3 linked regions of the Callithrix jacchus genome follow. The protein of the gene in region 2 interacts with the protein of the main gene of each other region in a pairwise test. Links are inferred from orthologs where the notes say so. Each region holds a gene or a part of one and is shown on either strand. Other genes may lie near its edges. The genes, in order: AP2B1, CLTC and ATPase PAAT.

What was found.
Region 1: the proteins of CLTC (region 2) and AP2B1 interact in a two-hybrid assay, tested with the Homo sapiens proteins (2 studies listed by BioGRID, with this or other methods). The link is inferred for Callithrix jacchus from reciprocal best matches to the Homo sapiens genes CLTC and AP2B1.
Region 3: the proteins of CLTC (region 2) and ATPase PAAT interact in binary tests that used the Homo sapiens proteins (3 or more experiments, as listed by UniProt). The link is inferred for Callithrix jacchus from reciprocal best matches to the Homo sapiens genes CLTC and C10orf88.

The regions. Positions count from the first base shown.
Region 1 is NC_133506.1:98,757,125-98,760,777, reverse strand, and holds part of AP2B1 (AP-2 complex subunit beta), read left to right. Parts: intron 1-485; coding exon 486-651; intron 652-3,051; coding exon 3,052-3,150; intron 3,151-3,653. UniProt on the Homo sapiens protein: Component of the adaptor protein complex 2 (AP-2). Adaptor protein complexes function in protein transport via transport vesicles in different membrane traffic pathways.
Region 2 is NC_133506.1:94,241,176-94,244,828, forward strand, and holds part of CLTC (clathrin heavy chain 1), read left to right. Parts: exon of another isoform or gene 1-1,621; intron 1,622-1,990; coding exon 1,991-2,128; intron 2,129-2,371; coding exon 2,372-2,536; intron 2,537-2,688; coding exon 2,689-2,869; intron 2,870-3,653. UniProt on the Homo sapiens protein: Clathrin is the major protein of the polyhedral coat of coated pits and vesicles. Two different adapter protein complexes link the clathrin lattice either to the plasma membrane or to the trans-Golgi network.
Region 3 is NC_133513.1:116,313,654-116,317,306, reverse strand, and holds part of ATPase PAAT, read left to right. Parts: intron 1-2,328; coding exon 2,329-2,535; intron 2,536-3,653. UniProt on the Homo sapiens protein: ATPase that regulates mitochondrial ABC transporters ABCB7, ABCB8/MITOSUR and ABCB10. Regulates mitochondrial ferric concentration and heme biosynthesis and plays a role in the maintenance of mitochondrial homeostasis and cell survival.

The sequences.
Region 1 (3,653 bases), about 4.5 Mb from region 2:
AAAATTATAGAACCTATAACAAAGTATCAGTCTCATGCCGTTTCTGAAGTATTGTAGTTACTCTCATACAATATTTTTTTAAAAATCTACATTTTCACAAGTTTTTTAGATTGAACACTCTTAGTATTTGAAGCAAAAATACTTTTTTAGATTTGATTTTTGAAAACAAGTAATTAAGGAATCTGAAAGTGAAATAAGAGAAGGTTTTGTAAGCATCTTAAGCCTATGTTGCATTACACTCATAGAGATATCTTGTGCCAAAGCTTCTGATTGTTTTTTTGTTTTTTTTTTTTTTTGAGATAGAGTCTCAGTCTGTTGCCCAAGTGAGTGTGGTGGTGTGATCTCGGCTCACTGCAACCTCACTGCTTTTACAGTTTGGTGGTTTGGTTTAGGGTCCCTTGTTTGTGGTTTTGCCTTTAACCTTCACTATTAAATATAATTCTTAGTTTGGCTTTTAATAACCATAGTTCATTTTTTCACATCAGGTATGAAAGTATCATTGCCACTCTATGTGAGAACTTAGACTCACTAGATGAGCCAGATGCTCGAGCAGCTATGATTTGGATTGTGGGAGAATATGCTGAAAGAATTGACAATGCAGATGAGTTACTAGAAAGCTTCCTGGAGGGTTTTCACGATGAAAGCACCCAGGTAAGTTCTTATCTTTTGTCTATCCTGGTAGTTTTCTATGTCTTTGGGGAGATTGCAGAGAAAGCAAAGGTTATAGGCAGTTTCTTCTGTGTCTGTATTTATATATAGTGTGTTCATTTTTCTCCCAACAGGGATGTCCCTTTTCGGTTTAACTAATTTTTTTTTTTTAGTTGGCATCTTGCTCTATTGCCAAGGCTGGAGTGCAGTGGCACAATCTTGGCTCACTGCAACCTCTGCCTCCTGGGTTTAAGCAATTCTTCTGCCTCAGCCTCCTGAGTAGCTGTGACTATAGGCATGTATCACCACACCTGGCTAATTTTTGTATTTTTAGTGGAGACAAGGTTTTACCACGTTGGCCAGGCTGGTCCTGAACTCCTGACCTCAAGTGATCCACCTGCCTCGTCCTCCCAAAGTGCTGGAATTTTGGGTATGAGCCACTGTGCCTGGCCAGTTTTACTGATTTTTTTTTTTTTTTTTTTTTTTTTTTTTTTTTTTTTTTAGACAGAGTCTTGCTTAGGTGCCAGGCTGGAGTGCAGCAGTGCGATCTCAGCTCACTGCATCCTCCTCCTCTGGGTTCAAGTGATGCTCTTGCCTCAGCCTCCTGAGTAGCTGGGACTACAGGCATATGCCACCATGCCCAGCTAATTTTTGTGTTTTAGTAGAGACAGGGTTTCACCATGTTGGCCAGGAAGGTCTTGATCTCTTGACCTCGTGATCCACCCACCTCAGCGTCCCAAAGTGCTGGGATTACAGGCGTGAGCCACTACACCTGGCCTTTTTTTTTTTTTTAAACAGAGTTTTGCTCTTGTTGCCCGGGTTGGAGTGCAGTGGCACGATCTTGGCTCACTGCAGCCTCTGCCTCCTAGGTTCAAGTGATTCTCCCTCCTCAGCCTCCCAAGTAACTGGGATTACAGGCACCTGCCATCACACCTGGCTAATTTTTTGTATTTTTAGTAGAGACGGGTTTCACCACATTGGCCAGGCTGGTCTTGAACTCCTGACCTTAGTCGATCTGCCCACCTCGACCTCCAAAGTGCTCGGATTATAGGAGTGGTCCACCGCGCCTGGCCAGTTTTACTGATTTCTAATATTCAAAACCTATGTAACTCAGACCAGTACTTCTCAAACTTTAGTGAGCATTATTAACACCTGGGGGAGCTTTTTAAAGCACAAGTTGCTGGGCTTCAGCCTTAGAGTTTCTGGCTCAGTAGGTCTGAGATGTGCCTAAGTATTTGCATGTCTTACAAGGTCCAGGATGTTGCTGCCGCTACGGCTGGCAATACATAACCACTGGATTAGAGTAGTAGTTAACACTGCTTTTTTATTTTCTGTCACCTAAGAATGACTGCACATTTCTGTTAGTAATAGCTGTGGCTCATTATAGCAGGGATTTTCACTGGGGGCTGTGGTGAGTTTTGAAAAGATTATCTGTGGATGAAAATTCTGAGACTGCTTCTCACTTTCCCTTACCAAAATTAGAGCCATGGGACCGAGAAGCAGATAAATTATTAAGCCCTTTTTGTCTGTCATTTGTACTCAAAGCAAGTAGAAGATCATGTATATGATTTATCATAACAATTTTAATAGATCTAAATCAAGGAGTATGTACAAGTCAATAGCTTTGTGATTTAGCAGCCAACTCCTAATAGTCTGTAATCTGACATAATTCTACTGTCTTGGCTCTTGCCCCAGTATGACAGATGATTCCATAATTCCCCCCAAATTGTAGCTTTTGGTAGAAGTAAATAATAAAAGACTTGCTCAGGAGTCAGTTTTATCACCATCAGTATGTTAACATATACTTTAAGAAATACAGACCAGGCTCAGTTACTCTTGTCTGTAATCCCAGCACTTTGGGAGGCTGATGGCAAGAGAATCGCTTCAAGCCAGGAGTTTGAGACCAGCCCTGGCAACATTGCAAGACTACATCTCTACAAAAAGATACAAAAATTTACAAAAAAAAAAGAGGTTTGGTGGCTTGTACCTGTAGCCCCAGCTACTTGGGAAGCTGAGGCAGAAGGATTGCTTGAGCCCAGGAATTTGAGGCTACAATTCATAAATGTGCATCTGGGCAATAGAGGGAGACCTTGTCTCAAAATAATTAATAATAATAAGAAGAATAATAAACATAGGTAACTATCTGGCTTAGAAACAAGCAGTGTTTTGTGCCAAAAATGCATTTTGAGGATAGGAGGATAGAGTTTTCAGTTGAATACCTTTGTATTTCCCATGAATATTTTTGACTGCTATTGTTGATATTGATGAGTTTTAACCTTTTTTCTCTTAACCAACATCAGAAAGACTCCATAGTAATTCATAGTTGCGGAAACACCACTTTGGAGATGATGGCAGGTAATGATGCCAGTGCCATTCTTTCACTCTATCAAATTATCTGTTTAGGTGCAGCTCACTCTGCTTACTGCCATAGTGAAGCTGTTTCTCAAGAAACCATCAGAAACACAGGAGCTAGTCCAGCAGGTCTTGAGTTTGGCAACACAGGTAAGAAATCTGGAAAAAGTGAGGTGTTGATTTGTCTTGTTTCAAATTGTAGGAAATTATGACTCTTCCTAGGGGGTTCATTTGGGGAAGTTTTATTTGAAGGAAGTATGGCCTTTAGATCCTGTTAAAATGTTAAAACAATGCCTTTTAATGTGTTCAACTGAATTGTAGCTAATTGTATGGCTTTTAAATGAGTTGGCTGACTCCACTTTTCATAATTCATGAAAATTGAACATAGACTCTTAATGAAGGGCATACTTAGATGAAAATGACGTGTTCTGATACTACCAGCTTCTCTGTGACTTCATTTCAGCTTTCAAATGAAAGTACCATGTGGAAATAGGAGATGGCCTCAGCAAAGTTTCATGCATTGTTCTACCTTCCAGAGGGATTGCCTTTCTCTTGGAAATAATTTTAAAGTACTTATGCTGCTTCCTTGAATTATTTGATATATTTGGACCTGTTTGGAATTATTTGATTTTTTTGGTCAGAGGAAAAGAAGT
Region 2 (3,653 bases):
AGCCAACTTCTCTCTCTTGAGGAGGCCTGGAGAGAAAACTTACACACAGTGATGTCGGTTATTTGTTGGGAATCTACCTGCTGATATCACGGAAGATGAATTCAGAAGACTATTTGTTAAATATGGAGAACCTGGAAAAGATTTAATCAACAAAGGCAAAGGATTCGGATTTATTAAGCCTGAATCCAGAGCTTTGGCTGAAATTGCCAAAGCTGAGCTCGATGATACGCCCATGAGAGGTAGACAGCTTCGAGTTCGCTTTGCCACACATGCTGCTGCCCTTTTTGTTCATAATCTTTCACCTTACGTTTCCAGTGAACTGTTGGAAGAAGCCTTCAGCCAGTTTGGTCCTATTGAAAGGGCTGTTGTAATAGTGGATGATCGTGGAAGATCTACAGGGAAAGGCATTGTTGAATTTGCTTCTAAACCAGCAGCAAGAAAGGCATTTGAACGATGCAGTGAAGATGTTTTCTTGCTGACAACAACTCCTCGTCCAGTCATCGTGGAACCACTTGAACAGCTAGCTGATGAAGATGGTCTTCCTGAAAAACTTGCGCAGAAGAATCCGATGTATCAAAAGGAGAAACTCCTCGTTTTGCCCAGCATGGCACATTTGAGTACGAATATTCTCAGCGATGGAAGTCGTTGGATGAAATGGAAAAACAGCAAAGAGAACAAATGAAAAAAATATGAAGGATGCAAAAGACAAATTGGAAAGTGAAATGGAAGATGCCTATCATGAACATAGGCAAATCTTTTGCACCAAGATCTGATGAGACAACAGGAAGAATTAAGACGCATGGAAGAACTTCATAATCAAGAAATGCAGAAACGTAAAGAAATGCAATTGAGGCAAGAGGAGGAACTACATAGAAGAGAGGAAGAGATGATGATTCGTCAGCGTGAGATGAAAGAACAAATGAGGCGCCAAAGAGAGGAAAGTTATAGCCGAATGGGCTACATGGATCCAAGAGAAAGAGACATGAGAATGGGTGGCGGAGGAGCAATGAACATGGGAGATCCCTATGGTTCAGGAGGCCAGAAATTTCCACCTCTAGGTGGTGGTGGTGGCATAGGTTATGAAGCTAATCCTGGAGTTCCACCAGCAACCATGAGTGGTTCCATGATAGGAAGTGACATGCGTACTGAGCACTTTGGGCAAGGAGGTGCGGGGCCTGTGGGTGGACAGGGTCCTAGAGGAATGGGGCCTGGAACTCCAGCAGGATATGGTAGAGGGAGAGAAGAGTACGAAGGCCCAAACAGAAAAACCCCGATTTTAGATGTGATATCTAGGCTTTCATTCCAGTTTGTTTTGTCTTTTGTTTAGATACCAATCTTTTAAATTCTGACATTTTAGTAAGAAAGCTATCTTTTTATGGATGTTAGTAGTTTATTGACCTAATATTTGTAAATGGTCTGTTTGGGCAGGTAAAATTATGTAATGCAGTTGTTTGAAACAGGATAATTTTTTTTCTTACTTCCTTATTTTTTCTTTTTTTACTGTATAATGTCCTTCAAGTTATGGCAGTGTACCTTGTGCCACTGAATTTCCAAAGTGTACCAATTTTTCTTTTTTTACTGTGCTTCAAATAAATAGAAAAATAGTTATTAAAAAAAAAAAAATACATGGGGGTGATAAAACAGGATAGTGGTTGCTCCTAAGTGTGGGGAGAGGGAAGAGATGCATACCGGAAGTGTGAGTCTTCCAATTCAGAGTTCTTCATATTGTTTATGTTATTGTTTTTCAAAAGTTCGTAAAAATAAAGGTCTATCTGTTTGATTCTATTCTGCTAGTATGTAATATCTTGAAATATTTTAGTTGTTTTTATCAGAACTCAAAGTAACTATGTTCTCTAGAAGACAAAATTTGTTCTTAAAGCATTTATAGTGTCCAAATAAATTCTCAGGTAAAGAAAGAGTTTGTGCATAATTTTGTCTACATACTTTCCATAGTATCTTTAAACAATTTCTTTTATCTCTTTTTTTGCAGATTGTAGATGTCTTTATGGAATACAATCTAATTCAGCAATGTACCGCATTCTTGCTTGATGCACTGAAGAATAATCGCCCATCTGAAGGTCCTTTACAGACGCGGTTACTTGAGATGAACCTTATGCATGCGCCTCAAGTATGTGTTCTAATGTTTTTTAGGCATGTTTCCAATATTGCTTTAATAATTGTGCAGAGCATCTCAGATTGTTATTCAAAGCTACTGAGATGCCTACTCCTTATACAAGAAAATTTAGCTATTATATATTCTTTTGTACTTTCTTTTATCAGTTCACTATTAAACCTTAATATGTAATATGGATATTGAATTACTCATATAAATGGGATGGACAATAAACTTACCTTATTTGTGGTTTTACAGGTTGCAGATGCTATTCTAGGCAATCAGATGTTCACGCATTATGACCGGGCTCATATCGCTCAGCTGTGTGAAAAGGCTGGCTTACTGCAGCGTGCATTAGAACACTTCACTGATTTATATGATATAAAACGTGCAGTGGTTCACACCCATCTTCTTAACCCTGAGGTATTTTAGTTTCTTACCTAATAGATGGTGTTAGTTGTGATTAATAGGCACACTGAAAATGTGTTTGTAGTACTAAATATTAATAATTTCATACCTCCATGAGTTTCAACATTGTTTCATTTATTCATTCATTCATTTATTTTGTCTTGTAGTGGTTAGTGAATTACTTTGGTTCCTTATCAGTAGAAGACTCTCTAGAATGTCTCAGAGCCATGCTGTCTGCCAATATTCGTCAGAATCTGCAGATCTGTGTTCAGGTGGCTTCTAAATATCATGAACAACTGTCAACTCAGTCTCTGATTGAACTTTTTGAATCTTTCAAGAGTTTTGAAGGTAATTAGGAGTTTTTGAGTTTGTAAAAAGTACTTAAGATAGCCAAGAAGAGGTATGCTTATGATCAGGCTATTGGAAATTTTGTCTTTCTAAAAATTTGGTTCTATGGGACATTTTAATTTTTTAAGTTTTGTTATTCAGTAAATGTTGCCAGGCGTGGTGTCTCATGCCTGTAATCCCAGCACTTTGGGAGGCCGAGGTAGGCAGATCACAAGGTCAGGAGATCGAGACCATCCTGGCCAACATGGTGAAACCCCATCTCTACTAAAAATATAAAAATTAGCTGGGCGTGGTGGTACGTGCCTATAATCCCAGCTACTCTGGAGGCTGAGGCAGGAGAGTTGCTTGAACCTGGGAGTCGGAGGTTGCAGTGAGCCAAGATTGCGCCACTGCATTCCAGCCTAGCGACGGAGTGAGACTCTGTTTCAGGGAAAAATAATAATAATAATAATAATGTCATCAAGGCCCTTTTATATTGGATCCTAAGGATATGCAGTGAACAAGACCATCTGTTTGGATATTTTATAGATGAATTAAAGGTAGAATTTTAAGAGAAAAATATGTAGTGATGTTTAAATTGTAAAAAGTGAAAATACAGGTTGAGTGTCCCTAATCTGAAAATCCAAAATGCATCAAAGTTCAAAACTTTTTGAGTTCAAAGGAAATGCTTGTTGGAGCATTTCAGAAATTGGATTTTCAGATTAGAGATGTTGATCAGGTAAACATAATGTGAATATTCCAAAGTTCAAAAATCTGAAACATGTCTGGTCCCAAGCATTTGGAT
Region 3 (3,653 bases), on a different chromosome or scaffold from region 2:
CCATTTATAAAAGAATGAAATTAGAGAAGTTTCAAGCAAGAGAAGTTAAAGGGACTGGACTGTTGTCTTCAGCACGAAAAATATCAGGTTAACTGTTAGTGATGTCTTCAGAGTCTGGGGATAAGGTAATGAGTTGAAAGTCTTAAGCCCTGGATGTTAAATTCAGTTCTGCTGCTGACTAGTGGATTAGTCTTGGGCAGATCTTGGACCTATTTCATGGTTAAAATGAGGGAGCTGAAGAAAATCTTGGATTCCTTTTATCTCTAAAATTCTGTACTTATTATCATTACTTATAGAAGATTGAAACTTAGTTTTACAATAAGGAAAAATAAGTGATTTTTACAAGCAGATAGCAAACTCACAGAACTAATTATCCCAAGATGTTGTTTTGGGTAGTATATATTAAATAGCTTCAAAAGCCATTCGAGTAAAGTGATTTATTCATTCCACAAAGATTTGAGTGCTTCTTAATGTCAGGTACTATACCAGGCATTTAGGAATTAGTAATAAGAAAATAAACTGATGTCTTCCCTTATGTTGCTTGTATTCTTTCTAGTAGGGGCAAGACAGACAATAAGGAGACCCACTGAGTAAAACAAATACTATATTCAATGGTGAAAAAGGCTATGGGGTTAAAAAGAGAAAGGGGGGATAATAGGTTGAGGTGGGAGGTTAATAGGATATTTCCTTAAAATGTTGAAGACAGTTACATCTTTTCAACACTCAAGAGTTCTTGGATCATGAGTCTGTATTGACCTCTGTCCTTGTGTGACATGTGGATCTTTGTGTGTCTCTGAAGGTGAATTTTTTTTAACTGTTCTATGGGAGTACCTGGAAGCACAAAGGGTTATTTCAGGGAGACTCTAGGGTTGATATGAAAGCTTGTTCTGAGGCAATATGAAAGTTCAAATAAAAAAATGGTTACCAATACAGGTTTTTGAGCACTTACTTAGTGGTAGCTACTGGAAGTTTTAACATATAATCCTCACCACTATGTGAAATCATTGTTACTATCTTCTCTCATTTTAATACTGACTCAGATTTAGCATTTGCGCAGGGTTACACAGGTTGTAAGTACCAGAGTCACAATTTAAACTCAGGTTTGTCTGATTCTAAAGCCCATTCCCTTTCCATTTTGCTACTCTGTTGTCTGTATCACACATGAAATGTCTCTTGTTTCAGAAATATGGACAGGATAAAATGTTTGGTAAACTACTAGGCTAGAAGCCAGAAGAACTAGGTTTCAAGCTAGACCTTTACTAATTGAGTGTCCTTTTATCACCCTTGAACTCTATTTCTATGTATAGTCCAGCAAGCTGTATTACATCATTTTGATATTCTCTTATAGTTCTGAATTTGGAAGGATTGAATTTTACTTATTATTTCAGTAAACATTTTGTGTGGGCATCTGGACAACCTTATTTTGTGGTAAGTAGCAAGCTGTGGTATGTTAAGGTCTCAGATTGGTATATAGTAGTTCCCCCTTACCTGAAGTTTTACTTTCCACAGTTTGCATTACCCACCATCAACCGTGGTCCAAAAATATTAAATGAAAATTTTCAGAAATAAACAATTCATAAGTTTTAAATTGTGCTTTGTTTGGAATAGTGTGATGAAATCTATTGCTATCCTGCTCCGTTGTGCCTGGAACATGAATCATCCTTTTGTCTAGTGTGTCCCTGCCGTATATGTTACAGCTCATTAGCCACTTACTAGCCGAATGTATCATCAGAAGGTCAAGAGTAGCCTAGTGCTATGTTACAACGCCTATGCCATTTGCCTCACTTCATCTCGTTATGTAGGCATTGTATCATGTAACATCATTACAAGAAGGCTAAGTATCGCCCAGTAAGATTTAGAGAGAGGCGACCACATTCACATAAGTTTTATTATGTTGTCATAATTATTCTATTATTAAGCTCTTACTATACCTAATTTATAAATTAAATTTTATCATAGGTATGTATGTATGTGTGTATGGGAAAAAATATAGGGGTTGGTACTATATACAGTTTCAGGGAGCCACTGGAGGTCTTAGAACACATTCTCCACCGATAAAGAGAGACTACTATTTTATTTTTAGTTCTTTAAATAAGTTAACATTTATTTAACTACTCCGTTTGTTATTTTACATGAAGTCTTAGTTTTTGAAAGGACTTTTTTATTTAAATAGTTCATCTGAACCTCAATAAATAGTGTTCTAGAGAAGACTTTAAAATATACTTGAAGTTAATTTTTAGATTCTTGAATACTTCACTCTTGTTTAGGTGATACCAAGAAGTGATCATTGTTTTTAATATTATTTTCTGGACTTTTGTTTTGTAATAGTTGCTCTCCTTTGGCGAAAGGCAGTGTGTGTTCATCAGTAAAGTTGTGGTACACATGAGATCAGTTTTGGCAAGTTCTTCAACAAGTTCTCCTGCTCTAGGATCAAGGATAGACCTTCACAAGGTCCAAACCATAATGGAGTCCATGGGGTCAAAGTTATCTCCTGGAGCTCAGCAGTTGATGGATATGGTTAGGTTTCAGCAGCAGGTAAGTAGAAATGGAGTTCTTTCCAGATACTATTAAAGATTGCAAAATGATTGCTTTTAGTAACGAAATGTAGTGACTTAAAGTTTTTCTTTTATACTGATTTAACTGTTATCTTTTAGTTTTATGGAAGTTAACATCTTTATAGATTTGCCTTTCTACAGAGCGTTTTGACTACAAATTTTCACACTTTTTATGAATTCATTCAGCAAGTTGTTTGTTTGTTTGTTTGTTTGTTTCGCAGTGACCAAGGCACTGTTTTGAGCAATTTTGAGTGTGCAAAGATGATCAGTTAGTCTGTAATCTGTCTTTAAGAATTTTTACATTCTGGAGCATGTAAGTGGGGAATGATAAAGACACTAAGAAGGAAGGCTCATTAAAGAACGTGGTATTTTATCTAGGCCTTTAAAATGAAGAGTGGGATTAGGCAAGTACATTTGGAAGAAAGCCATTTCAGACGAAAAATAAGGTGAACTAAAATCTTCAATGCTAGAAGAATTTGATATAGTGGGGGAATGAGTAGTAGTTCATTTCTGTGAAGCAAAAAAGTAATAGGGGAAGTTTAGAGTAGATTTCAGCGAGATCATAAAGAGCTTTGAATGCTACTTTAAATTTGTAGATGTTTTCAAGAAATTTTAAGCCACTGTCATATGTAAGGTGAATCTGAAGAAAGTGAAACTACAAAAAAAGACTAGCTGCAGGTTATTCTCCTCATCCAGGTGAGAGTGAATGAGGGTCCAAGATTAGACATAGTAACGTAATGCTGGACTGTGAGATGTTAAAACAATGGAGCCATTGGGATTTGACAACTAACTTAATCCTGGTATTATGATAGAAAAATCAAGTTAAACATGAAATTGAGGCTTTAAGGATGGCAATACTAGTAATATAAATGCAGCCCAAAGGAGGAGGATGCTTGGAGGAAAAGGAATTTAATTTTGGCAATATTGAGTTTTAGCTGTGAATAAGACTTTCCCTGGAAGGATGTTGTGAACATCTAGAAACACAGGATTAGGGGAAATGGAATGAACCTTCAGTGGCTGGAAGCGGAGTTTAGGGATATATCCACAGTAACTAACAGGGAGTGTGGTGAAGGGAGGGACTGAAGCAAGGAAGAAAGA